3 linked regions of the Tamandua tetradactyla genome follow. The protein of the gene in region 3 purifies or fractionates together with the protein of the main gene of each other region. This does not show direct contact. Links are inferred from orthologs where the notes say so. Each region holds a gene or a part of one and is shown on either strand. Other genes may lie near its edges. The genes, in order: SAP130, KDM5A and SIN3B.

Region 1 (10,135 bases), on a different chromosome or scaffold from region 3:
GTTGCTAGTTTACAGTTCTAAGTCCGAGAAAATGTCCCAATTAAAACAAGTCTATAGAAATGTCCAATCAAAGGCATCCAGGGAAAGACACCCTGGTTCAAGAAGGCTGATGAAGTTCAGGGTTTCTCTCTCAAATGAGATGGCACATGGCAAACACAGTCAGGGCTTCTCTCTCAGCTGGAAGGGCACATGGCAAATACGGCGTCATCTGCTAGCTTTCTCTCCTGGCTTCCTATTTCATGAAGCTCCCCGGGAGGCATCTTCCTTCTTCATCTCCAAAGGTCACTGGCTGGTGGACTCTCTGCTTCGTGGTGCAGCAGCATTCTCTGCCCTCTCTGAGTCTCTCATTCTCCAAAATGTTTCCTCTTTTATAGGACTTCAGAAACTAATCAAGACCCACTCAAATGGGTGGAGACATGTCATCCCCTAATCCAGTTTAACAACCATTCTTAACTAAATCTCATCAATCAGGGAGATGATTTCATTACAGTTTCAAACATACAGTATTGAATAGAGATTATTTTACCTTTATGAAATGGGATTTATATTAACACATGGCTTTTCTTAGGGGGCATGCTTCCTTTCAAACCAGCACATAAATCCTTTGCAGATACATCTATTACAAACGCCTTCTCTCAGTCCGTCGGTTTTAATTGTGATGAAGTCCAATGTATCAACTTTTTTTCTCATGAATAGTGTTTTTGTGATCTAAGCAATTCTGGCTTACCTCAAGATTGCCAACAGTTTCTCCCATGTTTTCTTACAGAAATTTTAAGTTTTCTAGTTAGGCCTATGATACATTTTGAGTTAATTTTTGGGTACAGTGAATGTAAGGTCAAAATTCATTATTTCCATATGGATATTCTATGGTTCCAAAACTATTTTGTTGAAAAGACTATCATTTCCCTATTATCTTTGCACTTTTGTAAAAAAATCAATGTGTGAGTTTATTTCCGGATCTCCACTCTGTTCCAGTGAATTACATTTCTATCAATACCATACAGTCTTGATTAGCGCAGATTTATAAAAGTCTTGGAATGAGGTACTATAGTTCTCCAATTTTTATTTTTTGGGTCAAAATTGCTATGACTATTGTAGGTGCTTCAGAATTCCTTATCAATTTTAGAATCAGATTGACAATTTTACAGAAGAGCCCGCTGGACTCTGTTTAGGATTTCTTTGACTCTATAGCTCCCTTTCGGAAGAACTGATAACTTAAAACTACTGAGTCTTCCAATCCAGGAACAAGAAATATCTTTTCATTTTGTAGGTCTTCTTTAATTCCTCTAAGCGATGTTTAGTTTTCAGACTACAGGTTTTGCACATGCTTTGTTAAATTTATCCTTACGTATTTCACGATTAAAAAAAAATTGTGGTAACATATAAAAAACTTCTCATTTTAACCACTTTCATGGGGAAAATTCAGCAATATTAATTACATTCACAATTTTGTGTTATGATTACATGTCATGCTTTTTTCCTATTATTGAAAATGACATTTAAAAACTTTCACTGTTCACTGCTGGTATTTAGAAATAATTGTATATTGAATTTGTACCTTACTCAGAAAAAAATTTTATACACTTTTTTAGTGTAATTGAAGAAATAAACTTCCATATACATATATACTCTTCAAAAGTAAATTTATGAAGTAAACTTATGACTTTCTTTTCATTTAACCAACAAGGTTTGAGAGAAATTATTGCTAATTAACACTTTCTAAAATGAGCTGTGTAATTCCTTGCAAAGGATAAGTGTTCAAAATATTTTCTTTAGCTATACTATACTTTAAATAACCCTTCAATCAATTTATCCCAAAGATAAAATATTGTCAAAAATATTTCTTAGGGAATAAAAAGAACCTCAAGTCCCTCAACAAGAACTTATGACCACTACCTTGAACACTATTTTGTCATAAGGAGCATGAGACAGACACAACCCCAGCCCTCAAGTAGTCTTCAGTCTCAGAGGAGGTCTAAGACTGAACTGTGGACGATGAAGTTGGCAAAGATGCCATCAACACAGAAAGCGACATCTGAGATGAAACCTGAAGAATAGGAATTAGCCATAGAAGTGTGTGTGAACAGGAAGATGGCAGTGAAAGGAATGAAACGTACAGAGGCCTGAGGTCATGAACACTGGGAACGTTTCATCATTCGTTCATCAAATCAATAGATAATATAAAGCAGGAGGCATAAAGCAGTTTAAAGTATCTGTAAGTCTAACAAGCATGAGAATGAACTGAAAAAAGTAAACTGAAAAAAGGTAAAGGGTTGGAAGAAGGGGAAAGTAGCAGGAAATGAGACTGGGACATGAGAAAGGTGTCACAGCTTGTAGGTAAAAGGCACAGACAAAGCAATTAAAGATGATGTCTGAGCTCTTCAAGCAATGAGTAGATGGCGCCACCTTCTACCATATAAGGAACACAGTTTGCAAAGCCACTTCACTTTGCAATGCCACCTTTTGATTTGATACAAAGCAAGATGAGAAAGAGAACATTTGACAGAGAATCAAGAACAACACTGAAAGGTAAGGAACTTTCCTCTTCTGACTCCCAGGTCACTTCTCCTCTAAGCAGGGCTCTGCAGGCCTCTGTAGCCACAGCACTACTGCGACGTTGGACCAGGTGTTTCTTTGTTATGTAGCGTGACTGTGCACTGCAGGATAAACAGTGGCATCTCTGGCTTCTACCCACTGATGCCAGTAGCATCTTCACTGGGACAACCAAAATGTTTGCAGAGATCGACAAACATTCCCTAGTAGGCAAAATCATCCTCTACTGAAAGGCAAGGATCCACAGCATTTAAGGGGCGCCTAGCCAAAACTTGCATAAAGACTTCTTACCCTCTTTTCCAGGTAGTAAATTCCTAAAAGGCAAGACCTATCCTTTACTTTACATACCTCTGTTCCCCAATGATGCTATCACCATACATCTGAGCCTTGGACAGGAGCACATTAACACATTTAAAAAATATATTCCTGTAGGCAAGCTTTACTATAAGTTGCACAATATACAATGATGCATGTCAATGAAGTGGTTAAAACAAAAAAACAAAAAGACTTGTAAAATATCCTGTTTTCAAATTAAAATTACTTGGTGTTTACTAAAATTCTAGGGAAATTTGCTAATTTTTAAATCAGAAAATGAGCAACACACTCTTATATGGTGTAAAAATTATAATCTTACCTGCAGCAGTTGGATTTATCAATCCTGCAGAACCACTGCTTGAAATCTGTGAAGGAGTTTGGCTCAGCCCAGTGGAAGGGGTTCCCAAACGAGGAAACTGCTGAGAACTCATTTCCACCTGCAGTAAATACAGTCATATGATTATGGCTAGATTCTGAGATTAGAAACAATATTAAATATTATCTTCCCTCAGAAATGCAAATGCAACAAGTTTTCTAAAAAAAAAGAAAATCACTTATGATGGATACACAGGGCAAAAATAACCTAAATTCTGTATCTGCTATGTATTCAGGCTCAATTAATAAAATCATTTCTACAGTGCTGGGGGATACCATGACCCTCTAAATACCTGTGGACTGTAGACTAAAAAAAAAGAACAGGGAATCCTGTACAACAGCCACATTACAGCTACTGACATGATGCACACGTGTCCGTGTAAAGTTTTAGGGGGAATGGAGCCTGTCTGTGATTGGTTTAAACCTGACACCAAGGTGAACAGAACCATACTCAATCTGTCATATAGGAGAATTCAGAACGGAGATGCCGGATCCTAAGAGAGGATCAGAAACCGTATGTCAAGACCTGACCAGAAAAAAATTCTCAAATGCTTTTTTTGTAAAGGCCTTTACAGATTTCCTCTTTTTCTCCTGGTTTCACAGACCCCCCTCCCCCCCAGGAGCCTGAGGGACCCGAGCGCTTCAGTCATTTTCGTGCCCACTTTCCCACAGGAGCCCAGCTCTCCGGATCTCCTCCATTAGTTCGCAGGCGCTTCCCCGCCCCAAAGCCCACGACAGAGAGAGACAGAGGTTTCAGCCGCCGGGGGTCTCAGGGGCTCCGTCTGGGGGGAACAGGACAACCAGCACCCTGGTACCTGCAGCCGTCTCCCGCCACCCGTCCCCATTTCGCCATTCACCGGGGGTCGTGGGGGGCCCATGTCGCTAGAGGCACTGGGCGAGGGGCGAGGATGGGACGCCGGGCAAGCGCGCCGCTGTCCAGCCCCGCCGGCCGCCTAGCCCTCAAGGCTTGGCAGCCTCTGGGCCACCGGCCCGCTCCCCCGCCTCCCCCGCCACTCATTGGCCCAACGCCGGTCACGTCACTCGGGGCCAGCGCCAATCCGCTGCGGCCGTCGCACTTCGGGCCCGCCCCTCCCTCCCGCCGACGACCGACCAATCAGGTACGAGCCTGGCCGGGGCGCCCCCGCCCCTGGTGACCGAGCCAATGGTCGTAGCAGCCGGGCACTCCCGGCGGAGGGGGCGGGGAGCTGGCAGGCCCCGCCTCGGCCCCGGTCTGAAAGCGGCGGGCGCAGGGCCCGGATGTGGAGAGTCACTTTAAACTGCTCCGGGAGCCAAACTACCCCGGCCGCCCGCCCGCGTCCCCGGCCCTCAGCTCCCCGCCCAGGCCCTGGCCCGCCACGCCCCCACGCCCGGCCAGCCCGGCCCTCCCAGTCGCCTCTTCCCTCTCCGCAGCGGGACTCCAGCCCCTGCGGCCGGCACAACCGCCGTGCCCAGGTCGCGAAGGAGCCCGAGTCCCGGCTGGGGGCGCCAAGCCCCGCTGCCCTTCCCCGGGGACGCGCGGCGGGACGGACGCTGCTGCCCGGCGCGGCGCCCCGCCCCCTCGCCACCTCCCCTCCCAGCCCCGGCGCCCGTCCCGCCATGACCTGGGCGCTGCGCCGGGTGGTCGCCGCGCCGCCTCGAGCTCTCCCCCGTGCGCCGTCCGCCTCTGGGGTCGCCGTCCTCGGGCTCCGGACCCGCCACCGCCGCCGCCGGGGCACTAGCACTCTGCCCCCCACCCCTCAGCCCAGCGCCGCTGCTTCCGCCGCCGTAACGAGCCTCCCGCCGATTGGCCGCAGCCGGCCCCGCCCTCCCCCGGGAAGACCAATTGCCGCTCCAAGTGAGCGGGAGAGCAGACGGGCCCGCCTCCCGAGGCCTCGGCGACTTCTGGGAAATGTAGTCCATGGAGCCGGGAGGGCGGGCCGCGAGGGCGATGGGAAACTCCGGGGCGGGGCCTGCTGGTGACCTGGGCTGGAGCTGTGGGCCCTTCAGAGGTCTGGGCACCGTCTACTGTTTTTCTTCACCGACCGGGGACACGGCGGGTCACCCCCATTTCGACACTGTCGGAGGCACTGTGTTCCATTTTCCTGAGACGTTAAGGGGCCGTGGCGCGCGAAAAGGGCAATGGAGGTCGTGGTGTGGCGGGTCAGCGTTCCGCCGTGGTGGCACTTGACTCGTCCCCGAGGCCCTGGCCCGCGAAGCCCAAGCAACGTGGGGGCCCCAGCACCTCAGCGCAGCAGGCAGACTCGGAGAGGGGGCCCTGGCTACGAACCGGGGCGCCGCGTCCTGGTGCTCTTTGTCGCGGCCGTAAAGCCGCGGAAAGGACATGGGTTCATTCTGTTTCTGTTGTCGGGCGCAGATAGGTGCAGTTTATACATTCGTGAAACCTGCAGCCAAAGCTGCTGAGGCAAAATGAGGGTCTGCGTCCCCATCGTTCCTCCCTATGTAGTAATTAGGCCTGGGAGCGCTGTGACGGGTTAAGATATAATTCCGGCTCAGATCCCTTCTTCCTATCATTGCACAGCTGTCTAAGACAGCTGCTTGCTGGGAGGAGAGTAGCTCAGAGTAACAAGAGTGAGTCTCAAATACCAGCCCTCCTCCCTCAAGCTACTTTCTCCCTTCCCTTCATTCCCAGACATCTTCCAAAAGTAACTCGCATTACATATTTTAGCTTCCTCTCTCTACCCCTTGTGGATTCTGGTCCTGCCATCCTTCTCAAACTGCTCCCTAAAAGTGGCCAGTGACGTATTCAATTTCAAATTTGGTGGTCCTTGCTTAGTTCTCATGTTGTTTAGTTAATGACCAGGAATTCCTCCTTAAAATGATCTTCCACTGGCCTCCATAATCACACTCTCTCCTGGTTCTGCTCAAGCTTCATCACACCTTCTCTTGAAATAAATATGGTATTTTCTAAGGCCCCAACTCTTTTTTGATACTTTACTATCTTCATAAATGGGGCAATAAACTCGCACAGTTTCAAATGTCACATTTGTGAGTGATTCCAATGTTTACCTACACGGTGACCTCTCTCTGAGTTGTACCCCGGTATACCCAGGAGCTGTACCAATCCACATCACTGTCTGACAAGCTCCTCAAACTTAACTTATTAAAAGGTTGTATTGATTTGCCTCACCTATCTGCTCTGCTCCCTGGGTTCCTGGGCATTACCACTCTTTCAGTCTTTCGTCAGACTTCTTGTTTCTCACTCTCCCATCTCCCGAAGTTGCTATATTGTATTCATTATGACTTTTCTGCATCCTTTCCAATCACTTCCATAGCCTTGGGCTTCACCATTTCTTGTCTGGATCACAGTAATACAGCCTCCTTTCTAATCTCTTCCTAACCCCTGTCTATCATTGTTTGGGTTTGCTAAAGCTGCCAGAATGCAACATACCAGAAATGAATTGGCTTTTATAAAGGGGATTTATTAAGTTATAAGTTACAATTCTTAGGCTGTGAGAATGTCCAAATTAAGGCACCTAACAAGAGGATACTGTTATAGTTTGCTAGCTGCCAGAATGCAATATACCAGAAACGAAATGGCTTTTAAAAAGAGGAATTTATTAAGTTGCTAGCTTACAGTTCTAAGGCCATGAACATTTCCCAATTAAAGCAAGTCTATAAAAATGTCCAAATTAAGGCACCAACAAGAGGTTACCATCACTTAAGAAAGGCCAAGAAGTTCAGGGTCTCTCTCTCAACTGGAAAGGTACATGGCAAACATGGCGGCATCTGCTAGCTTTCTCTCCAGGCTTCTTGTTTCATGAAACTCCCACTGGGGTGTTTTCCTTCTTCATCTCCAAAGGTCTCTGGCTGCGTGGGCTCTTGTGGTTCTCGTGGCTCTCCCATGGTTCTTATGGTTCTCTAGTGGCTCTGTCTCTTTCTCCAAAATGCTTCCTCTTTTAAACAACTCCAGTAAACTGGGATGGGTGGAGTCACCTCTAATGAAAGGTTAATACCCACAATTGGGTGAGTCACATCTCTGTAGAGATAATTTAATCAAGTTTCCAGCCTACAGTACTGAATAGGGATTAAAGAAAGGCTGCCTCCATAAAATGGGATTAGGATTAAGACACGGCCTTTCTAGGGTACACAAATCCTTTCAAACCAGCACAGAAACCTTCTCAAAATAAAGGCTGATTTTCTCTGTCTGAGGTTTCTCTGTTGCATGGGAAGGCACATGGCAACCTCTGCTGTCCCTTCCAGCTTCTGGTTTCAAACAGCTCTCTCAACGTCTGGCATATCCTGGGGCTTCTGGCATCTTGTGCATCTCCAAACATCTGTGTCTGCTCTCTGTGTCAACTCTTTTAAGGACTCCAGAAAACTAATTAAGACCCACCTTGAATGGGTGGGATCATATCTCCATTTAATCAAAAGGTCCCACCCACAGTTGGGCAGGTCACATGGAAAAACCCAATCAAAAGGCTCCGCTTAATGATAGTCTTCCCCCACAAGATCGTGTTAGAATTTTTAAAAACTTGACTTTTCTGGGGTACATAACAGTTTCAAACCAGCATAGTCCTCCACAGAGGTCTTTTTCTAAAGCCTTTACCTGAGTCTGTCTGTGCCTCCCATGATGTTCCAATAACTTTCAAATACAATCAATACCCTAAGTTCAGTATTCAAAGGCCTTAGTAATTCAACCCTTTATACCTCTTCAAACACTGAATGCTCTTTTCAGCAACAGTTTCCATCAGTTCTCCATACAGTTTGGCTTCCAGAGTTTTGCTCAAGCCTGAAATACTTTCTATAGGTCTCAATCTTCTGCAATCATCTGCTAGCATTCTGTCAATTCTATAATTCCTAACCAAAAAACAAACAAAGAAGATTTATATTCTCCAAGAAACTTTCTTCAAATTCCTACCCACACCCCCCTACTCTCTGAATACCTCTGTGGAATTTCCTCAGGCACTCTATTCCAAGACTAATTGTGCCTACCCTTTATTTCTCCTGGACTAGGATGAGAGAGAAATTACTCATCCTTTCTTCCATCTATGGGACTTTATATACAGGTGGCATTCAGTAGTTTACCTAGTATAATCACAAATACATCCATAGCACATGAATGAAATCTGAGTGGTCCTTAGTTACCAGGGACAGTCTCTGCTGCCATATTCATTCCTATCTCCAGTCCCTTATATAAGGGACACTTGAAGGAAGGTAGGTGCTTTGCTCAAGGTTATGTTGCTGAACTTAGAACTCCCATCTACTGAGCTTAGTATACTAATTGAGGCTGAAAACATTCTTCTTACTCAAGAGTTAAAGCCACCTGCCAAAGTTTTAGGAGCTTACTATTCTCTTGCATTCCTAAAAATGATGTCTACACAAGATAATATGGAAGGTTGAGCCAAAAAAATTTAGACACCTCACCTGCTAAGTTGTTTTCTAGAGAAGGACTGTCTGCCAACAAGAAGGACAAATTCTCAATGCAGGTGACTTGTGGTAGTCAATCAGATGTCAGTGTGTGGTCTGCTGGTGTTAATAAAAGTTTCATGGGCTTCTCTCCTGCTTAACCCAGCTGGTTCTCACTCTGGCAGGACCTGGCATGCTAACATCTGGATCCTTGTGCATTCTCTAGTTTCATATGCTCCCCTTGGTCCAAATACCCAGCCAGGGAAAGCCTAGTCCCTTCTCGTTTCCTCATCTGTAAAGCGATTACTTTTCTCAATCTCCTCATATAGATCAAATGAGCCATACATATAAAGGATGTGATGCCTTGGAAGTTACTCACCTCCATTGTTTTTTTTTTTGTTGTTGTTATTGTTGTTTTGTTTTTAGATATTCCAATACCTTTTTTCTTCTTCTTATTTTTTAGGCTCCCCCTTTCTCTTTTTTAAAGACAGTGCAGTTCTATTTTGAATATAATTTAGGGTAAGACTCAACTCCCCAATTTATGCAAAAGGACAAAATCTTGCAAATCTGCCTGGTCCACTTTTATATTTAAATAAGGATATGTGTGCAGCTGCTGTTTCTGGTAAAACCAAAAACAGTGGAATTAAAAAGTGAATAGATTATAGAGGACAATCATTTTTCCTTCATCAAATCCATCAGGTCATCTTCTAGGCCTTTCTCACTCAGCTCATCTAAGCTGTAGTATCGATGAACTATTTTCTCAGTGGTGACCATGGTGACTCGGAGCCCATGGGTGTGATTGCCCAACTGGCATCTGATGGCCACCATGACACCACCATGGTAGGTTCTGGAAGGTGCCGCCAGCATTCCTGTGGTAGTGGCCTGAGAACACAACTTTGATACCTGCTCTGGTGAGCTTATCTGCCAGCTCCTGACGGACTGACTTGCTGAGGTTGAAGGAGTCATTGTCTTCCTCAGTGTTCTACATGAACAGTGGAATATGCTGGAAGATGAAGGCATGCTGGCACCAGCACTCCCCTGCGGTGCTCAGCCGCTCATCCAGCCACTGGTCTTGGTCTTGTTTCAGGGCTGGGCACTTGGAGGCATTGTAGAAGAGCTGGGAATTGAGAATGAGGAACAGGATGCCCTCAACCCAGAAGCTGAAACAGTCGTCTACCCAGGTCTAACGGAACTCCACCAGGGACTCAGCTGTGGGGGTATTGCTGACGTGGTGGTTGTGGCTGACGAAGACTAGTGTGATGGCCCTGTCGATGCCCGCGAGCAGTGCTGCAGATCCTCCGTCTGTTCCTCTCACAATGGCATTCCTGGCATGGCATGGATGAGGTCACTACACAGAACAAAGAATTTCAGCTTGGGGTTCAGCTTGTTGATGGCTAGAATGGCTTGTTCAGTTAGACAGATCTCCTGGCCCTACTTGTCACTGCTGCTATCACAGTCCCCAATGGACCAGGCCTTCATCAGTCTAAACTGTAGGGTCTGCACCTTGGATGAAGTAGTATGGGCCCTACCATTCCCTTTACTTTTC
Region 2 (10,519 bases), on a different chromosome or scaffold from region 3:
GGGATACACTGGAGGTAGAGACTGGGGTGCCAATGCTTAATTTGTACAGAATTTCTATTTAGGTTGAATGTAAACATTTGGAAATGGATAGTGGTGATGGTAGCACATTACTGTGAGCGTAATTAATAGCACTGGATTATTCTTGTGAATGTGGTTGATAGGTTAAGAAGGAAAGAAGACAAAACATGGGACTACACAACAGTGATCACTACTGTGGACGATGGACTGGAGTTAATAGTATAAATATGAGAATGTTCTTTCATGAATTACAACAAATACATGACACTATTGCAGAGTGTTACTAATAGGGTGGTATATGGGGGAAAGTAATATAAACTATAGACTACAATTAATATTTTAATATTTTTTCATTAATTTTAACAAAGGTACCACAGTAATGCAGTGTCAACAATGGGGGGTATACAGGAACACTGTACTTTTTACATTACTTTTCTCTAAACCTACAACTTCTCTCATTAAAAATACATAATTAATCAGATAACTTCCTCCAAATCTCAATTCCAATTATCACTAACTTTGTGCCCTCGTACATGCTTCTCAAATTTCTCTCTGGAGTCCTCACATAAAGAATGAATTAGGATGCAGAAATGGAGACATAACACTCACCTCAAGTTCATTCAGGCGCTGGACTCGGGGAGTGAAGCGAAAGCTTTTTACTTCACATGCAAATGGAGGTTGCCAATCCTAAATAGACAGAATTGTTTTTTAACACAAGGGTATGAATATATTATCCATTCCTTTATTTTAAGGGGTGAGTTGCCACAGATTATAATAAGAACAATCAAATTATAAGTCCTCTTTATTAGAGAAACAGAAAGAATTGTATTTCTTAGATAAAATAATTTCAATAATACTCAAAAAAATAATATCTCTTCAAATCTCACCAGTCCTGTTATTTCCCACAATTATGCTTTCCCAAATTATTTCAAGTGGAATGCAATGAGCCCCTGTACCAATAAACATCCAACTTTATTTAAAAAAAAAAGTCAGAATTTGAAAGAAACTAAAAAAGGTAAAATTAAAGACAAAAAGTAAGTCTTAAAGTACTTAATATATATTTGGAAATATGTTTTTATACTTACGTGTAATGTGACATAGCACTTTACATTCTATATTACAAAAATCCTTTGTTTAAATGAAAGCCCAGCTTCTGGAACCCAAATATAAAAAAAAAAAAAGTTTGCAAACCCACTAGGACAAGGAAAATCTCCAGATGGATGCTGTGGAATAACTGAAATGAGATAGCATATTTCAAGTGGAGTTCTAGAGAATAAAGTTTGACTTGGCACATAAAAATCTGAGTAGTAGTTCAAAAAAATTATCTTCCCTTGAAAACTAAAGAAACCCACCAATATTAAGATTAAATTCTGCTTGTAAAACAAGATTTATTTCAATAAAAATGATATAACACACAAGAGAAGGTATACTATTTCAACCTCTTTAAAAAAATTTTTTTTAATTAAAGATTTTCATAATATAGAATGTAAACTGCTATATCACATTACACATAAATGTAAAAACATATTTGCAAATGTGTATTAAGTACTTTAAAACTTTTTCGTCTTCAATTTTACTAAAACTTTATTTAAAATTTCTAATTAATAAAGGCAACAGAGTAGATTAAAATACAGTTTAGAAAAAAACCTTAATGTTGAAGGTTTTGTCAATATTAGGTAATTCTGACAGAAAATGAGGGTTACTGAAGCTTTTAGAAGATGGTGATACATATCACCATAGTAATTACCTGTTAATTGTTTGTTTACAACTGATAGTCTATGATCTTAATCAATTCATTCATCACAGTAGGAATAGCATGCATGGTCTTTAGAATCTGTTTACAGACCTAGGTTCAAAAATATACCTTGCAGTTTACCCATGATCACACACTTAATAACTGACTTAACTTACGGAGACTTGCCTCATCTATAAAATGAGGACTTTATTTACTTACTAAAACTTCACAGAAGATTACTGAAACAATATATACATACAAAGCCCTTGCCAAACAGGAGGGGCTAAATTAGCTTCTCCTCCCTGCCCACCTCCTGCTTCCCAGCTAAATTCCTTTTATTTGCTGTGGTAGTCTATGGTGAGGACAAATGAATTTTCTATGACAATCTAAGAGAGAAGTTTTTAAAATCCAACACAGTAACAGTGCCTAATATTTTGTTTACTACCACTAAAACAAAACATAAAGGAAGGTGTCTTCTGGAAGCACTGTCCAAGACAATGGTGCACAAAATTTAATGTGCATTAAGAATCATATGAAAGTAATTTGCTAGAAAAGCAGATTCCAGAAATTGATCTATCTAGTCTGGGAATGAGGCTTACAAATCTGCATTTTAACAAGCATCCAGTTAACCCTGGTGCAGGTGGACCAAGAATATCATTCGAAAAGCATATGTCTAATGTGATAAAGACAATACCTAGATAACCTGAGATCCTGTATGACTCAAGCGACCAATAAACCTTGTGACCTTGCGCAAATCACTTAACCTCTTGGGGCACTAATTCACCCAAAGAGGTAGTATCTGTTTTCCTTAACTTATATTAAAGATCGATGATGGTAATAAACCTACAACATATCTGGTTATTTAGAAATAACGCGACTCGTACATCTTTGATCCTTGGTTCCTTGGATCGAGAGAGTTCAACATTTTCTTTCACCTCCAAGACACAACCAATTCTTCCTAAACCTCTAAATTTTAAAGATAAATGCTGCTCCTTCTCTACCCCTGGGAAGACTTTCAGTGCTGCAATAATCCAGTCTGGGGTTCTCGTTTCTTTCTGGGGAACAACTAGAGCTCAGATTACCTATTAAGATACCCTAACACTGAGATGAAGCCTGCGAATATTTAATAAACTAAACAGTAATAGGACCTGGATAAAGAAACAGAAGGAAGAACAGTTTTATAATCGCATCGTTATGTGGATTGAACACGAGGTACATGTCACGTCATAACATTTCTAAAGTCTAATACTCCCAATACATCGAAGGCCATACTTGTAGGACAACGAAAGGCCTTTTGTTACCCATGCCTTCAATCCAAAGAAGGAGAAAACTATCAGCTTTCAAGCGCTAGAAGGAAAAGCTCCCAGGGACACACACCACTATCTCGACTTCAGAAATAAAAGACACGGTAATAATATACAGAACCTTAGCCTCGAACTGCTGAAAAAGAAGGGTGAATAAATACGTAATGACAGAAAAACCGGAAAAATAAAGCTAAACCAAGAGTCCTCACAGACTTCAGTACCTTGGGCGGTCGGATCTTGCAGATGCCAGTTTTCTCGGCCAGAGGCCGGATGCGGCCGATAAAGCTGAGTGGGTCTGTGAACTCCTCCCAGCTAGGCTCAAACACTGGGCATTCCGGGGGTGGCACAAACTCCGCCGCATAGCCCCCCGGCCCCACACCCGCCATGGCAATACCCAGGAGGGCTCCGTGGGCGAACAGGTGGAAAAAGGCTGTCTGAAGCCCACCAAGCCTTTCACGTCCCCTGACAGGGACCGAAGCACATCTTCTCTGACAAAAACTGCTCAATAGAGGAACACCAGACTCGCTTCCTCCTCTCGTTTGTTATTGTTTCCTCCGGGGCTTTTCCTCTCAAGGGAAGGACTTTTCCGGAAGTCAACGTACTATCAAATCCCTCCGCCACGACGCCTCGCTATGCGACCCTTTCTTCTTCCTCCCTTTCCCGGAAGCGCAGTGTCGCTCCTTCTCTCCTTGCCGGCGACTGTTTTGCGCAGTCCGACGAGTCCAGACGGCCCACCCTTGAGAGTTCCACGATCACTCCTCCAGAAGAGGTAGAAATGGTGTAAAGCTGCCGGGGCGGAGGCGGGACGCGCTCTTCCGGCGCGGAGGAATGTGTAATGCTTCAGAGGGCAGAGGTTCTGCTTCCGGTGTGGAGGGTCCAGTTCCCTTTTGTGTATAAGAGGACAGGAAAAGGAGCTTGTTCTAACTTCACTCACTCCGCCCCGTTGCTGGTGGTTTGCGGCTTGTTTTAACCTACTTGCCTTCCTTTTACCAAGTTACTAGCCTTTTCAACGTGTCTCCTTCTCTTTTTCTTTTTTCTTTCTTTTTTTTTTTGTGTGTGTGTGTCTTTTTGACTGCTAGTATCTCGAGTAATCTTCCTGGGCCATTCCCCTCCTCCATGGCAACTTCTGGTCGAATTTATCCCCCAAGTCTTGCAGTAGGACATTAGCTCCCATCCAGGAATTGCTTTTCGTCCCACATAGACGTAGCAGCTCTTTTCCTTGCTTATCCGGTAATTGTCATGCTCCAAGTCATCTCATATAACAGTAACCACTTCCTTCTGACAACCCTGGCCCCGTAAGCCTTTCTCAATTTGCCGTGAAAGCCATAACCATTGCTTGTCAGAAACATGTGTGTCAGTGTCTATCTCCCACTTTCTCCAAATTGTAGAGAGTAACGTAGAAGGGACTAAAAGGAAAACTGTGAAACGTTAGTGTTAAGTAAACACTGGGAGGTAAACTTTCGTCCTAGATTCCCTTTTTAGATATACATACTCCCCAGGCAGCCTCAGCTACTCTCCGGACCTAAATTGCCAATTTAGGCTCCTGAATCTGTATTTCCAGCCTAGTCTTCTGAACCCAGTTCCAAGCCAATACTTACAGCTACCTACTGGACAATTCCAGTTGGGTCACTTAAAATCATTCAGTGTTTCTGGTTCTATGAATGATTTCATCCAATTGCTTGAGCCAGAAATCTAGAAATAATCCTTAACTCCTTATACTCCTTTTCCCCTTATATACAATCGTGTGTGAAGACTGGAGATTGTATCACCCCAAAATTTTAAATCCATCTGTGTCTATCAGTCCTCATTACCAGTATCCTAATTTAAGTTCTCTAACCCAAACTGTGATAACTGCTCAGTTCTTTGCCCCTCCAGTCAGACTCTGGATTAATTTGTCTAGAAACCCAGAATTCATCTTGTCACTTTCATATCCAAACTCTTTTACTACTTTCTGTATTTCTTCCTAGCTTCATCGCTTATACTCCTCCATGTATGCCACATAAATTTTTGTGATGGCTTTAAAACATCCTGCTTACTCTCACCTCTGAGCCTTCACAAGTAATATTTCCTCTGTCTGGAACATTTTTGTACTTTCCTGACCCCACACCATTCCAACAATTATGTATATCCTCTTACTGGTTAAATTCCTATGTATCCTTCTTCCTATACATCAGCTGAAATATCACTTCCTCTGGAAAGTATCCCCAGCTCCTGGGGATGCTTGGTACATAGAAGGTATGCAATAAATTCTTGTTAAATAAATAAAAAACATTCACCAAATAAACTGCCTTGTGTTTCATTGCCTCATCCTATATTTACATATGCCAAATTTTGTTTGAGACTGTATCAGGATGTGACATACATAATATTCCTTTGTTTAACTATAGCATCCACAGTAGTTAATACCCAATTACTCATACCCACTAACCTAAACCCCATATGCAAACACTTTTAGGGAATATTTCTGTTTGTTGGATAACAAACAACCTCAGAATCTGATGTTCTCTTGGTCTCATCTGAAATCACTCATGTAGCCACAATCATCTGATGGCTTGGGTTGAACGGTTTGAGATGGTCTCACTTGCATGTCTACCAGATGGTGCTGGCTGTTGGCTGAGAAGCCCCAGTTCTCCACATAGCTTCTCATACTTGGCAAATTAGTGGATTTGTCAGGGTTCTCCAGAGAAGTAGAAGTGACAGGATATATATGTGTGTGTATATGTGTGTGTGTGTGTGTGTGTATACATATGTATGTTTGTTATATATATAAATGTTAAGATTTACTGTAGGAAATTGGTTCACATTACCAACCACGGGGATTGGCAAGTCTAAATTCTGCTGGACAGACCACAAATTGGGAACTTGAAGATGATTTTGAATTCCTCAGGAGAGGAGGGCTGGCTGAAATAGAGATAAAAGTTATTTCTGACTGCTAAAATCCTCAGATCTCTCTTTAGGGTCTCCAACTGATTGGATGAGGAGATTTCTCACATTGCTGAAGGCAGTTTCCTTTGTTGATTGTAGATGTAATCATCCACAGACAATTGACTGACTAATGATTAAAATCCATGCAATACCCTCCCAGTAATAATCAGGCCGCTGCTTGTTTGACAAATAACTAGAAAGAATAACCTGGCCAAGGTGATACATGATGTTCTAGTTTGGTAGCTGCCAGAATGCAATATACTAGTAACAGAATGGCTTTTAAAAAGAGGAATTTAATGAGTTGCTAGTTTACAGTTCTAAGGCTGAGAAAATGAGCCAATTAAAGCAAATCTATAGGATGTCCGATCTAAGGCCTCCAGAGAAAGATACCTTGGTTCAGGGTTTCTCTCTTAAGTGAGAAGGCACATGGCAAACACAGTCAGGGTTTCCCTCTCATCTGGAAAGGCACATGGTGAACACGGTCAGGGTTCCTCTCTCATCTGGAAGGGCATATGGCGAGCACAGAGTCATCTGCTAGCTTTCTCTCCTGGCTTACTGTTTCATGAAGCTCCCCGGGAGGCATTTTCCTTCTTCATCTCCAGAGGTCGCTGGCTGGTGAACTCTGCTTCTCGTGGCTATGTCATTCTTCTCTGCTTTCTCTGAATCTCCATTCTCCAAAATATTTCCTCTTTTATAGGACTCCAGTAAACCAATCAAGACCCACCCAAATGGGTGGAGACATGTTATCACCTAATCCAACTTAACAACCAATCACTCTTGACTAAATCACATCATCCACATACACATCAACATTGTAATGATCTGATTACAGTTTCAAACATACAGTATTGAATAGGAATTATTCTACCTTTATGAAATGGGATTTTGATTAAAACATGGCTTTTCTAGGGGGCATACATCCTTTCAAACCAGCATACATGAAATTAACCCATCATGGTTAAACTGGGCTTTTTCGCAACATGATGGCTTCAGGGTTCCAGGAGGGTGAGAATGGAAGCCTAAGCCTAAGCCTAAGGACTGGATTTCAGGATGTACACGATCACTTCCAATGCATTTTGTTGAACAAAACAAGCTAGAAAGCCATCCTAGATTCAGGGTGTGTGTGAAATAGACTTCATTTCATGATGGGAGGAGTAACAACATAACATTGCAAAGGGATATGGATGCAGGGAAGTGTGAGTCATTGCATACAATTAGAATGATTTACGATAAAAGTCTGAGATTTTTACTACTTACATCTGGAAAGCCATACTATTCACAAAAAAAGGAGTAATAATTGAAATCTAAATAAAAACATTTGTTCTAGTTTGCTAGTTGCCGGAGTGCAATATACCAGAAACAGAATGGCTTTTTAAAAGGGAAATTTAATAAGCTACAAGTTTACAGTTTTAAGGCCACAAAAATGTCCCAATTAAAGTAAGTCTATAGAAATGTCCAATCTAAGGTATCCAGGAAAAGATACCTTGATTCAAGAAGGCCGATGAAGTTCAGGGTTTCTCTCTCAAGAGGAAAGGCACACGACGAACACAATCAGGGTTTCTCTCTCGGCTGGAAGGGCACATGGTGAACACAGTGTCATCTGTTAGCTTCTCTCCTGGCTTCCTGTTTCATGAAGCTCCCCAGGAGGAGTTTTCCTTCATCTCCAAAGGTTGCTAGCTGGTAGACTCTCTGCTTTTCGTGGCTATGTTGTTCTGCTCTCTTAGAATCTCTTGCTTTCTTCAAAATGTTTCCTCTTTTATAGGATTCCAGTAAACTAATCAAGACCCACCCGGAATGGGTAGAGTTTAACAACCACTCTTGATTGAGTCACATCTCCAGGGAGATAATCTAATTATAGTTTCAAACATTCAGTACTGAATAGGGATTAGAAGAAACGACTGCCTTTACAATATGGGATTAGGATTAAAACATGGCTTTTCTAGAGTACATACATCCATTCAAACTGGCACAACACTGAAATAATTCATTTGGTTAAGCATTCAATTAAAATATAATGGTTTTGCTTTAAAATTATTAATAAAGTAATAATTTATTTATGTTATTTTATAAATAATAGGATATTTATAATCCTATTATAGGCCCTCTATGAGTGCCAACTCCTAAAACTTTGATCATCCCTATTTGTTTCCTGTTGTTCTTTCAAGCTATACTTACCTATTACTTTATCTTAAACTGTCACCCTAACAGAACTTATAGTCATAGAAAATTACTCTCTATCATTTTAAAAATTTTTATTCTTGTAACATATAAACAACTTAAATTTTTCCCTTTTAGCCACATTCAAATATATAATTCCATGTTGTTAATTACAGCCACAATGTTGTGTTACTATTACCATCATCCATTACCAAAATTTTACCATCTAAAGGGTATAGAAAAAAAAGGGAAACAAAGACTAAAATATATTGGGTAGATAGAAATACTAGCAGTTAATGAGAAGGAGGGGTACGGGGTATGGTATGTATGAACTTTCTCTTTTTATTTCTTTTTCTGAATTGATGCAAATGTTCTAAGAAATGATCATGGTGATGAATATACAACTATGTGATGATATTGTGCTGTTGATTATATACCAAGAATGAAATGATCTTATGGTAAGAATGTTCATATTTGTATGTTATGTTTAGAAAAAAATAAAAAAACTTTACCATCACTCTAAACACAAGCTCTGTACCAGTTAAGCATTAACTCCTGATTCCCTACCCCCACCCTTGACCCTGTATTCTAATTTCTGACTCTATGGATTTGCTAATTCTAATTATTTCATTTTAGTGAGATCGTACAATATTTGCCCTTTTCTGTCTAACTTATTTTGTTCAGCATGATGTCTTCAAGGTTCATCCATGTTGTCGTATGTTTCAGAATTTCATTCCTTTTCATGGCTGAATAATATTCCATTGCATGTGTATACCACATTCTGTTTATATGGACACTTGGGTTGTTTACATCTTTTGGCTATTGTGAAAAATGCTGCTATGAAGACTGGTGTACAAAATATCTTTTCGTAACACTGCTTTCAATTCTTTGGGATACAATACCTGGCAGTGGGATTGCTGGGTCATTTCTCAATCAATTTTTATCCGCCTCAATGCTCCTGAGAAATCTGTTAACAATCACTTTCTCTAGCAGTGAGTCTGTAAGAGAAAGGCAGTAAATCAATCTGTGGTGGGGATAAAAAAGTTCTCCAGTTCTACCTACCTCAGATTCTGATGCTTCCCAAGGAAGAGGAGGTGACTCCCCACCTCCCCCTCCCACCCCCCCATACCCATCCCTTTGAGACTCAACTATTATAAAGACCCAAAATGTGTGTTTTATAGTTCCTATGGCACCAATCTACACACAGGATGTTAAATTGACTGTCACAATAGTATTTGGGTCTCTGGACAGATCTGCTGAATCCATAGCTACAGTTTAATGGTGTTAGGTTTTTTTTCTTCATAATTTAAACTTTCCTTGAAAATAACATCTCAGAAGAAAAACTTTTAAATATTATTACAGTATTATGTATTACTACCCTAAGTGCTAGAATAAAATAAATACTTAACTCTGATAATTCTATTGAAATGCTGCCACACATTATTCAATTTCTCTTTACCTTTATAACTTTCAATTATGTTTCTTGATGGCTAAATGAAAGACATGTTGTCACAATATTCCAAATCCTGATACAAATGTAATACTTTAACTAAAAACTCTTCCTTATGTGCATTTTTTTCCTTCACTTCGAATGCTACCCTGCACTAATTGAACTTTATTAGATCATCACAATTTCCTTAAAAGTCCATTAATTTTTTTTTTAATGAAATATTCTTAATATGTGTCATGGTCAGGTTCATGTGCCAACTTGGCCAAGAGGCAGTACCTGTTTTTCTGGTTGGGCAAGTGCTGGCCTGTCTCTTGCAATGAGGACATTTCATAGAATTAATTCATGATCATGTCAGCTGTATCCACAGCTGATTCCATTTGTAATCAGCCAAGGGGAATGTCTTCTGCAATGAGTGATGCTTAATCTAATCACTGGAAACCTTTTAAAGAGGATTCAGAGGAGAAAGTCTTTCTTCCTGCTTTGGCTGATGAGCTTCTCCTGTGGAGTTCGTCCAGACCCTCCATTGGAATTGTCAGCTTCACAGCCTATCCTGCGGATTTTGGACTCTGCCAAAATTCCATAGTCACATGAGACACTTTTATAAATTTTATATTTGTGAGTGTTTCCTGTTGATTCTGTTTCTCTAGAGACCTCTAATTAATACAACTTGGTATCAGGAGTGGTTCTTAAGAAAGAATCTTAAAAATAGGTTTTTATGAATCGTTTTCTACTCTGACTGGACTCAAAGGCACTAAGGACTCTGATTCCCATTTTCAGAATGACACTCCCCATCCATGGAGTGAGTTGACAAAAGAGATAGTCAAAATATCACCATTTGATTCTCCTAATGCTTCGCTTGTACGAAGCCAGGCTCTGGGGGATAATGTTTTTGACACCTTTACGGAGTTCTGTGGAAATAAGAAGTATAGA
Region 3 (10,317 bases):
CCTCGGCCTGGGGGTGTGAGCACCGGAGTGCCGGTACGTCCCACAGGCAGCCAGAAGCCAAGCGATCACACGTGGCTCCTGGGGCGCCCAGCAGACGCGCCCGCAACACCTTCCAGAGCCAGGCCTGTGGGTTCCAGGAACTACCACGCCTCTCACAGCTGTCCTGGTGTCCTAGGAGCAGCCCAGGGTTCTCGTTTTCAGCAGTCCAAGGATCTCCTGCCTTGCCACCTCCCTGGGCCAGGCTGTTTGTCCCCTCTGCCAGCTTCCACGGGCCTTCCCTGGTCCCTGTTTCGCAAACACACGGTACGCTTCGGGCACTGTTGGGGGAACGGGGACACGGCCGAGGACAATACAGGGAGGGGCCGGCCCAACCTCAAGCACGCGCAGTCCCTAAGCAAAGCACAAGCAGCATGGGCCTGACGTTCTCATTCCAGCTTAGCTATTCTGGAATATATAGAGCAGGGTGGGCTGGGACTGACCAGGGGGTACAGTAGGGGCTCCCCAAGGAGGCAACACTGTAATTGAAGCCAGATGAGCAGATCCCAAATGGGGCTGGCTCCCCTGCACCCCTCATCGTGGCCCACACCTGTCTACCCTCCTGTTAAGAGACAGGCAGCATGCTTACACCTGCGCCAGCCTGCCCCCCGCCTGGGACACAGGCCAACATCTGCAAGCCATCCCCCCCACCCCCACCCCCCTCAGAGAACACTTGGCCCCACGTGGCAGCAGCACCGCAGCTCAGAGCCCTGCCCAAAGGCTCCCCAAAGCCTGGGCCTCTCTCACTAGCACCCCTGGTGTCTAGCAGCCACTCTTGTCTGAGGGGGACGAGATTTATGAAGAAATGGGAAAATTACACATATGAAAAAAAAAGCTGTACTTCCAAATGGTGAAGTGAGAAAAACCAATAAATAAATCACCCTGAGGGTTTTGCATTAGGGCAGATTAAGAGGTCCTCAGGCTATGAGGACCTTGCAAAGGGTTCCCAGGACCCCAAATGTCACCCCGCTCGTCCCTACAGTGAAGGCATGCCGAGGATGACATGGGCTGCTGGGAAGCAGAGCCTGGAAATCAGATTGTATCCATCGACACCCACTGAGACAGCGGGATTCAAAGCATCTTTCCAACCAAGACATGAAGCCCTGGAAACGGCTGCTTCCAGGCTGCAGAGGGTAAAACCTTGTCTAGTAGCTGTGAAGTAAAGGGTCTTAAAAGCCTTCTGCAAGGCCACAGACCGCTGGCACCCAAGCCAAGCAGGGTGAGACGGGGTGGCAGCCGGCTCTGTCACATGCATGGCAGCTTCCACCATCGGCGCAGCAGGGACTCTGCAACTCCTGAGGGAAGCATCGTCTCAGAACCCACCAGTTCTTTCCACGCCAAGACCCAGCCCCCAGAGTTACTCCAACAGTCAGGGGTCGCTGAAAAGCAATTTCCATGTGCCGAGTGCAATTAGGGGCTTGCGACTCCAGCTCTTTCTCAGCAAATGCTAACTACACCCGATGTTCACAGGTGCTTCAGCCTCCGTGAAGTGCTCTCACATCCATTCCCCGACGTCTGGGCACCGCCAAGGCTCTTAGCGACTGCAGGCATGAGCCCTGCGTTTGCATCCATTTGCAAGCATGGAATGGAAGGGCTTCTTCGTGCAGCAACCACCAGACTTCCGAGTTTCTAAGACTGAGATGCACTTTTCAGCTTTAATGAGACAGCACGCTGATGGGGAGCTTGCTGGGCAGACAGCAAATGGGGACTTGACGTGCAACCCACCCCTGGAGAGAGGGCAACCGCGGCCACATCGCCTCTCGCAGTTCTTTTTCCAGATCCCGACTCCCTAATTCATGTGACTCTGCCATCAAAGGAGAAACCTACCCAGAGCCTCCTGCGCAGATTTTTACCTTTTCTACGGAAATCCTGGGGGCAGGGACCAGAGGAGTACATTAAGACTAGTTGTTCTCAAACCAGGGACAATTTTGTCCCCAAGGGTCACTCGGTTGCATCTGGGGGCAGTTTCAGTTGCAACAGCTGGAGGATACAGTGTGTAGAGGCTGGGGCGCTGCTTAAAAACCCCACAAGGCACCGGCCAGCCAACCCTACCTCCACGGCAACAAACTGCTCCAAAGGGCAATAGTGCTGGGAAAAATTCAATGATTACCTTCTAAATGTAAAGCTCAAATAGGCTTTCTTTGGCTCAGAGGGCCTTGTAAGCTCAGACAACAAGGGACTGCAGGGAGACAGCAACCTGTCACCAGAGAAGGAGGGAGCTGAAGCCATGACCCTGGGGGTGGGAGAGGCTGACCTGAGCCAGCAACCCCAACAGGTATTAAAGAAACACGGCAACAATAAAAACTGCCATTTAGGCACTCATCGTAAAAACGGGGTTTCACTGGAGGCACCGAGAGCTTCCAGGGTGGACAGGGGCAAGTCTGGGGACTTGGAAGGATCTGTCAGGGACACTCCAGGCTCAGTCTTAAACCGAGGCAGTGGCGGCTGCTGAAGCCGTTATTTGGACTAAAAGTAAAATTCTGCGTTAGAAAATCACCTCCCTGACGCACACAAATGTTTCCACCCCTGATTTCAGTCCTCCCAACTGCTCCGTTTGGGGTGCAGTTGCTGCCCGGGTGGGAGCTGCCATCTATTCTGATTTGGGATGGAAGCAGCCGGCACACCTTGGGGAAGGACGGAGCCCCAGCGCCTTTCAGGCAGCCAGATGACAGGGGCACAGGCCCGCCATCCAGCACCGCATGGCCCCTCACGCCCCTATAGTGGCATACCTGGCTGGTCAGCGGCGACTGGACGTTTAGTTTGCCATTCTTGGGAATGTCGATTCTGTAGCCGAGGGGTAGGAAGGCATTGAATCCCACGATGAGGTCAGGGTGTTCGTGAAACAGCTGCGAGACGCGCCGGATGACACCAGGAGTGTCGATGCTACAACAAAGACGGATGCGTGTGGCCAAAAGGGTCCCAGGGAGCAAATCACAAGCTCCCCTACGCTGTCTCCAGACAGTGCCACGGCACCGGCTTATCATCAACAGCAAGGCCACCTAGAGTGTCTTGGCGGCTGGCAAGATTCCATAGGCAATGATCTATTTCCAGGGCAGCCTGGCCTGGCTCTGTATGCTCATCCCGTGAGGACCCTGAAGAACCCCAACAGGACATGAGGCTGCTCCCCCAAACACTCTGAGCCTGGGCATGTGCATCTGAAATGGCCAGGAGAGCGAGCTTGCAAGTCCTGGATGCGAAGGAGTGGCAGGAGCCAAAGCCCTCCACACAACAGGATGAATTTGGGATCAAACGTGACGTGGGATAGTCTCGAGCCCATGCGATTTGCTGCAGTGTATAAACACCGGGGGCCCTGTAGATATCAGGACTGCACAGGCACGTGAGGGGAGAGATGGGCCCTCCTTCAGTCACAGAAAGAGAGCCCTGCCGTGTTTCCCGAGACTGGGGAGCAGCAGGGTGGGAAGGAGACAAGGGAGAATTCATGGGTGGGAGGGTCTGAGTTCCAGTCCAGCCTTCTGTAAATCAAACGCCTGGTCCTGTGCTTCCCCAACTGTCCCTAACTCTCTTGATTCTGTGCCTACAAAAACAACTCGTGTTTTTAAATGCTTTCTGCGTGCCAGGTCCCTTAGTAAGCATTTTACCCCCATTGCTTCCAAGCAGGGCCGGGCCTAGGGCGAAGCCCAGCGACAGCCTCACCCCCAGGGGCAAAATTTATGGTGGAGGGGAGGGATCGCCAAGAACCTCAGAATAAATAACATTTTAATTTGATACTGTACAAGATTCTGAATTACTGCAAGCAGTTCCTGGGTTCCTGGATCAGCTGAATCTATTAAAGATCAGCATTCTCAACAGGCAGGATTCCACCCCCACCCCCCTTGCCCTGCTGGCCTCACCCTAATGGCAGCCCTGCCTCCAGGAATCCCCTTAACAGCTCCACGGGGTGGGGACCACCCACTCCCATTTTTTAGAAGACGACACTGAGGTTCAGAGAGGATCAGCAACCTGCACAAGGTCACCCGGCACTCGGGGAGAGCAGGGCAGCCCAGGGGAGGCCCCCCAGGGAGGAGGAAGGGACCCCGCGGGCACCTCTGGCTCTTGAACTCCTTCATGATCTCCAGGAAGCCGTTGTAGGTGGCAGGGTCGCTGCCGAAGCGGATCTTCACCTGGTCCAGGTAGGTGAGGGCATCCTCCACCTGCAGGGAGGGGGAGGGTCCCGGCGGGCCCGGGTCAGCGGAGCGGGGGCCGGGGACCCGCAGGGCGGTGGAGGTGAGGGTCGGGGCCGGGGTGCGGGGGCCGGGGTCTGGGGAGGCCGAGGCGGCGCCCGGGCCGGGCGGGGCCGGGTGGGGGGCGCGGGCCTGAGGGGGGGCGGCCCGAGGAGACCGGAGGAGACGGGAGGACCTGGGTCCCCAGCGGAGGGCGGGGCGCCACTCACGTGCACTGGCAGCTTCTCGTGGCCCGCGGAACCCGAGCGGCCCCAGCGGGCGCCCCCAAGCCCCCGACCCGCGGGGCCGCCGCCGCCGCCGCCAGCGTGCGCCATGTTGGAAGTCGGAGCCGCGGCCCGCCCCGCCCCTCCCGCCCGGCCGCCAGCGGCGCATGCGCGGGCCCCGCCCCGGGGTGGGGCCGGGAGGGGCGGGGTTTCCTCGGCGTGGGCGGGGTTTCCTCGGGGCGGGGCCTCTCTGTGAAGCTTTTACAACAGGTGAGCAAGCTCATAACCTCTCCGGCCACCGAGCGCTGTCGGAGTGGTCGGTGCGGTTTTAAAAAGTTGGGGGTGGGGGGAAATCCACAAAAGAAGAGCATTTCGTGTTGCGCGAAAATGCTGTGAAATTCACAATTCAGTGTCTCCGCACGTGGGTTTCCACCTGAATCTGTGGCTGCTTCTGCGCTCAGGTGGCAGAGCTGGGCCAGGAAGGCAGAGCTGAGGCAGCAGCCTCTTCCCCAGTTTTCTCACCTCCATCTCCATCAAGAGACGCTCCTAAACCTCTGCTTCCAGACATCCAGGGTCTTCCTGTGTCTTAGGAGATTAAATCTCAGCAGCCTCACGCAGCGTTGAAGACCACCAGAAACTGGTCCCCCGCCCACCTTTCCTGGCAGGATTTCCCACCCAAGCCAAGTGCTCTCTATGAGGGAAGAACATCCAACTTACTCCTAACCAGCTTGGCTGCTTCCTACCCCCATATATCAGGACATGCCATGTCCTCCTCCATGGTCCCTATTTTGTGTCCTCGTTGCTGAGAAAACTCCTACACATCCTTCAAAACCCATCTCAAATGTCCCCTCCCTTGGGAAGCTTCTCAGACCCTGCCTTTTATTCTCATAGTCCCAGGCATGTCATTTTTGTTTTATGCTTCATCTCTAAAACAGTTGCCTGACATGGTCACATCAGCGAGCACTGATCGAGTGAGTGAACATTCAACTCATGACCACGTGGCATCTTGTTTTTCATATGTGAAGATGGGCAGGGAAGCTGAGACTAAATATGAAATGATGGCATCATGTGCCAGGCTCTGTGTAAGGCATCAGGAATGGAATAATGATTAAAAAAAAAAACTGAGCTGGTTCTGCCCTTCCAGAGCTCTCTGCCTTTTAGGATAGATATATAGGAATTATACAAACAATTGTTTCTGTGCAGACACATGTGATGTAAAGGCTTAACTGTAACAAATGCTTCCAAGAGGAGGTAACAGAGTATTCCAGTCACTATTTCCAAGTAACAAAGCACACTCAAGACTTGAAGGCTTAAAGCCTTATGTTATGCACAAAACTACAGCTTGGGGCAGGTGGGGAGGGGAGAGCTCAGCTCTTCATCCTCCACATCTGGGAGGCTTTGCTCTCTCCCAAGCCTGGTATTTGCTGCTGTGTGAGGTCTTCCCTGGGACAATCGCATGGACACCTCCCTTTCCCCATGCAGCTGGAGTCTCCCGACGAAATGGTGTTGCATCCGCTGAACCAACAGCAGGAGTCATCGAGAAAGAAAGAGGGGGACACCCAGTTGGGACTGCCCCAAACCACCCCACAGTGGGCCTGTTGAGCTTCCGAAGAAAGAAGGACTGGACACCAGGACGACTGGTCCTTAGGCATTTATTAGGAAACTTCCAGAAAGCTGCAGCTACCTTGGGACAGACAGCATGATGGCAAAAAGTTCGCTCTGGTATGTCGGCACCTATGGACCCACTCTTTAGATTAAAAAGGCCCAGGGCCCTAAGCATGCTGACGGCCAGGGGCTTGCGGGCACATTTTGGGAAAACATCTGGGGATATGCTTTTTTCTCAACGTAAGATGCCCTCAGGGTGGGCTGTGTGCTTCCGGGAGTTGCAGGAGGGCTGGCAGAGGGGGTGGGGGTCAGGGGAGTGGTCACTTCTCGGTCAGAGAGGAGACGCTGTGTGCAGCTGGGTTCCGAGAGCAGGTGTCCTGAGACAGCCAGGTTGGAGCGCCCCAGCCTTCGTGCCCTCGGAAGTCATGCACAGGCTTCTGCACCGCGTCCTTTCCAGAGAGGCAGTTATGGGGTCCCGCCCCACTTCGAGAGGAGGGCAGATGGGCCCCACAACTGGGCAGTGCCAGGGTCTGGAACAGCATGCGAGGTGGGAAATGCTGCCATGACAGGTCTTGGAAAATGCTCTCTGCCTCCCGGGGGACTTACTCCAGTTTAGCAGAAGATGGAGAAGGCTTCCCCCAGGAGGCGGGGCTCCCGTTGAGAGCTGAAGGGTGCTAGGTGTTAACCCTGAGAAAAGTCCGATTGAACGGCTGTGCAAGAGCCCTGGGGTGGGAGGGGAAGCACAGCACGTTCTACAACAGACAAAAAGGCCAGCACTCCTGGACTGCAGAGAGGGAGGGAGAGAGGAGGTGCAGGGGGTGGATGCTGAGTGGAGTGGGAGCAGAATCCTAGGGATAATTTAGGGCTTTGGGGGTTGACCTTTAGCTGGTAGAACTGCACTTTAAAAAAATATATATATATATATTCATCATCATGATCATTTCTTAGAATGTTTGCATGAATCCAGAAGAAGAAAATAGAAAAAAAATTCATACGTACCATATCCCTTACCCCTCCCTTTCATTGATCACTAGTATTTCATCCTACTAAATCTATTTTAAATTTGTTCCCCCTATTATTCATTTATTTTTAATCCATATATTTTACTCCTCTGTCCATAAGGTAGATAAAAGGAGCATCAGACACAAGGTTTTCACAATCACACAGTCACAATGTGAAAGCTATAGCATTATACAATCATCTTCAAGAAACATGGCTACTGGAACACAGATCTACATTTTCAGGCAGTTCCCTCCAGCCTCTCCATTACATCTTTTTTTTTTTTTAACTTTTTTTTATTAATTAAAAAAAATTAACAAACAAAACATTAAGATACCATTCCATTCTACATATACAATCAGTAATTCTTAATATTATCACATAGTTGCATATTCATCATTTCTTAGAACATTTGCATCGATTTAGAAAAAGAAATAAAAAGACAACAGAAAAAGAAATAAAACGATAATAAAGAAAAAAAAGATTATACATACCATATCCCTTACCCCTTGCTTTCATTTACCACTAGCATTTCAAACTAAATTTATTTTAACATTTGTTCCCCCTATTATTTATTTTTATTCCATATGTTCTACTCTTCTGTTGATATAGTAGCTAAAAGGAGCATCAGACACAAGGTTTTCACATTCACAGAGTCTCATTGTGAAAGCTATATCATTGTTCAATCATCATCAAGAAACATGGCTCCTGGAACACAGCTCTACATTTTCAGGCGGTTCCCTCCAGTCTCTCTGCTACATCTTGAACAACAAGGTGATATCTATCTACTTAATGCATAAGAATAACCTGCAGAATAACCTCTCGACTCTGTTTGGAATCTCAGCCATTGACACTTAGTCTCATTTCACTCTTCCCCCTTTGGTCGAGAAGGTTCTCTCAATCTCTTGATGCTAATTCTCAGCTCATTCTAGGGTTTTTCTCAATCCCTTGATGTTGAGTCTCAGCTCATTCCAGGATCTCTGTCCCACGTTGCCAGGAAGGTCCACACCCCTGGGAGTCATGTCCCACGCAGACAGGGGGAGGGTGGTGAGACTGCTCATCATGTTGGCTGGAGAGAGAGGCCACATCTGAGCAACAAAAGAGGCTCTCTTGGGGGTGACTCTTAGGCCTAAATTTTAAGTAGACTTGACCTATCCTTTGTGGGGTTAAGTTTCATATGAACAAACCCCAAGACTGGGGGCTCAGCCTATAGCTTTGGTTGTCCACACTGCTTGTGAGAATATCAAGAATTCAACTTGGGGAAGTTGAGTTTTCCCCAGTTCTCACCATTCCCCGAAGGGGGCTTGCAAATACTTTTCCAGTCACTGATCAAATCACTCTGGGATTCATTGGGGCATCACTCTGGGCAAACCAACAAAATCTCATGTCCTACCTCAGATTCCAAGTTCTTACGACATTCAATCAAACTATCTACATGAGTTATATTAGGAAATGCTCTAGTCAAAATATAAATTTTGTAACAAATAAACATTTTTTTGCTTTAGTCTCACACAGAAGGTGACATTTTAAAGTATTAATTATCATCTGTTTTCAGCACACTACAATAATGACATTCCTTTGTTCTTCCTCATGCAAAAACATTTTTAAAGTTTGTACATAGTACATTTCACTATTATTATACACTCTAGGCATTCCTAGATTATACCATCTCGATCTTTACCATCTATCTTTCTTTCTGATTTCATTTATGTCCCCAGCCCTCCTCCCTCTATCATTCTCACATGCAGCTTCATTCAGTGTTTTAACATAATTACATTGCAGTTAGGTAGTATTGTGCTGTCCATTTCTGAGGTTTTTTTTTACCATCCCTAACACACCTTTGGTCACCATTATACTTTATAAGATTCTGATAAAACATTTATTATGCTCTATTGCAATTTTTTTTATTAATTAATGGAAAAAAAGAAATTAACCCAACATTTAGAAATCATACCATTCTACATATGCAATCAGTAATTCTTAACATCATCACAAAGATGCATGATCACCATTTCTTAGTACATTTGCATCAGTTTAGAAGAACTAGCAACACAACAGAAAAAGATATAGAATGTTAATATAGAGAAAAAAAATAAAAGTGATAATAATAGTAAAAAAAAAAAAAAACCTATAGCTCAGATGCAGCTTCATTCAGTGTTTTAACATGATTACTTTACGATTAGGTATTATTGTGCTGTCCATTTTTGAGTTTTTGTATCTAGTCCTGTTGCACAGTCTGTATCCCTTCAGCTCCAATTACCCATTATCTTATCCTGTTTCTAACTCCTGCTGGACTCTGTTACCAACAACATATTCCAAGTTTATTCACTAATGTCAGTTTGTATCAGTGAGACCATACAGTATTTGTCCTTTAGTTTTTGGCTAGTCTCACTCACCATAATGTTCTCTAGGTCCATCCATGTTGTTACATACTTCATAAGTTTGTTCTGTCTTAAAGCTGCATAATATTCCATCGTATGTATATACCACAGTTTGTTTAGCCACTTGTCTGTTGATGGACATTTTGGCTGTTTCCATCTCCTTGCAATTGTAATAATGCTGCTATAAACATTGGTGTGCAAATGTCCGTTTGTGTCTTTGCCCTTAAGTCCTTTGAGTAGATACCTAGCAATGGTATTGCTGGGTCATATGGCAATTCTATATTCAGCTTTTTGAGGAACCGCCAAACTGCCTTCCGCAGTGGTTGCACCATTTGACATTCCCACCAACAGTGAATAAGTGTGCCTCTTTCTCCGCATCCTCTCCAGCACTTGTCATTTTCTGTTTTGTTGATAATGGCCATTCTGGTGGGTGTGGAATGATATCTCATTGTGGTTTTGATTTGCATTTCTCTAATGGCCAGGGATGTTGAGCATCTCTTCATGTGCCTTTTGGCCATTTGTATTTTCTCTTCTGAGAAGTGTCTGTTCAAGTCTTTTTCCCATTTTGTAATTGGATTGGCTGTCTTTTTGTTGTTGAGTTGAACTATCTCTTTATAAATTCTGGATACTAGACCTTTATCTGATATGTCATTTCCAAATATTGTCTCCCATTGTGCAGGCTGACTTTTTACTTTCTCTCTCTCTCTTTTTTTTTTTTTAATAACCAGGTCTGAACCTGCCTTAAATTTTTTTTTTAACTTTTTTTATTAATTAAAAAAATTAACAAACAAAACATTAAGATATCATTCCATTCTACATTGTCTTTTTACTTTCTTAATGAAGTTCTTTGATGCACAAAAGTGTTTAATTTTGAGGAGCTCCCATTTATTTATTTATATCTTCAGTGCTCTT

Evidence for each region.
Region 1: the proteins of SIN3B (region 3) and SAP130 purify together in Homo sapiens (affinity purification with mass spectrometry; 3 studies listed by BioGRID and IntAct, with this or other methods). This does not show direct contact. The link is inferred for Tamandua tetradactyla from reciprocal best matches to the Homo sapiens genes SIN3B and SAP130.
Region 2: the proteins of SIN3B (region 3) and KDM5A purify together in Homo sapiens (affinity purification with mass spectrometry; 4 studies listed by BioGRID and IntAct, with this or other methods). This does not show direct contact. The link is inferred for Tamandua tetradactyla from reciprocal best matches to the Homo sapiens genes SIN3B and KDM5A.

Annotation. Positions count from the first base shown.
Region 1 is NC_135329.1:84,673,769-84,683,903, reverse strand, and holds the start of SAP130 (histone deacetylase complex subunit SAP130), read right to left. Parts: upstream 4,181-10,135; 5' UTR 4,122-4,180; coding exon 4,101-4,121; intron 3,306-4,100; coding exon 3,188-3,305; intron 1-3,187. UniProt on the Homo sapiens protein: Acts as a transcriptional repressor. May function in the assembly and/or enzymatic activity of the mSin3A corepressor complex or in mediating interactions between the complex and other regulatory complexes.
Region 2 is NC_135333.1:64,209,636-64,220,154, reverse strand, and holds the start of KDM5A (lysine-specific demethylase 5A), read right to left. Parts: upstream 3,872-10,519; 5' UTR 3,444-3,871; coding exon 3,279-3,443; intron 706-3,278; coding exon 628-705; intron 1-627. UniProt on the Homo sapiens protein: Histone demethylase that specifically demethylates 'Lys-4' of histone H3, thereby playing a central role in histone code. Does not demethylate histone H3 'Lys-9', H3 'Lys-27', H3 'Lys-36', H3 'Lys-79' or H4 'Lys-20'.
Region 3 is NC_135337.1:95,276,952-95,287,268, reverse strand, and holds the start of SIN3B (paired amphipathic helix protein Sin3b), read right to left. Parts: upstream 4,532-10,317; coding exon 4,427-4,531; intron 4,188-4,426; coding exon 4,081-4,187; intron 2,920-4,080; coding exon 2,766-2,919; intron 1-2,765.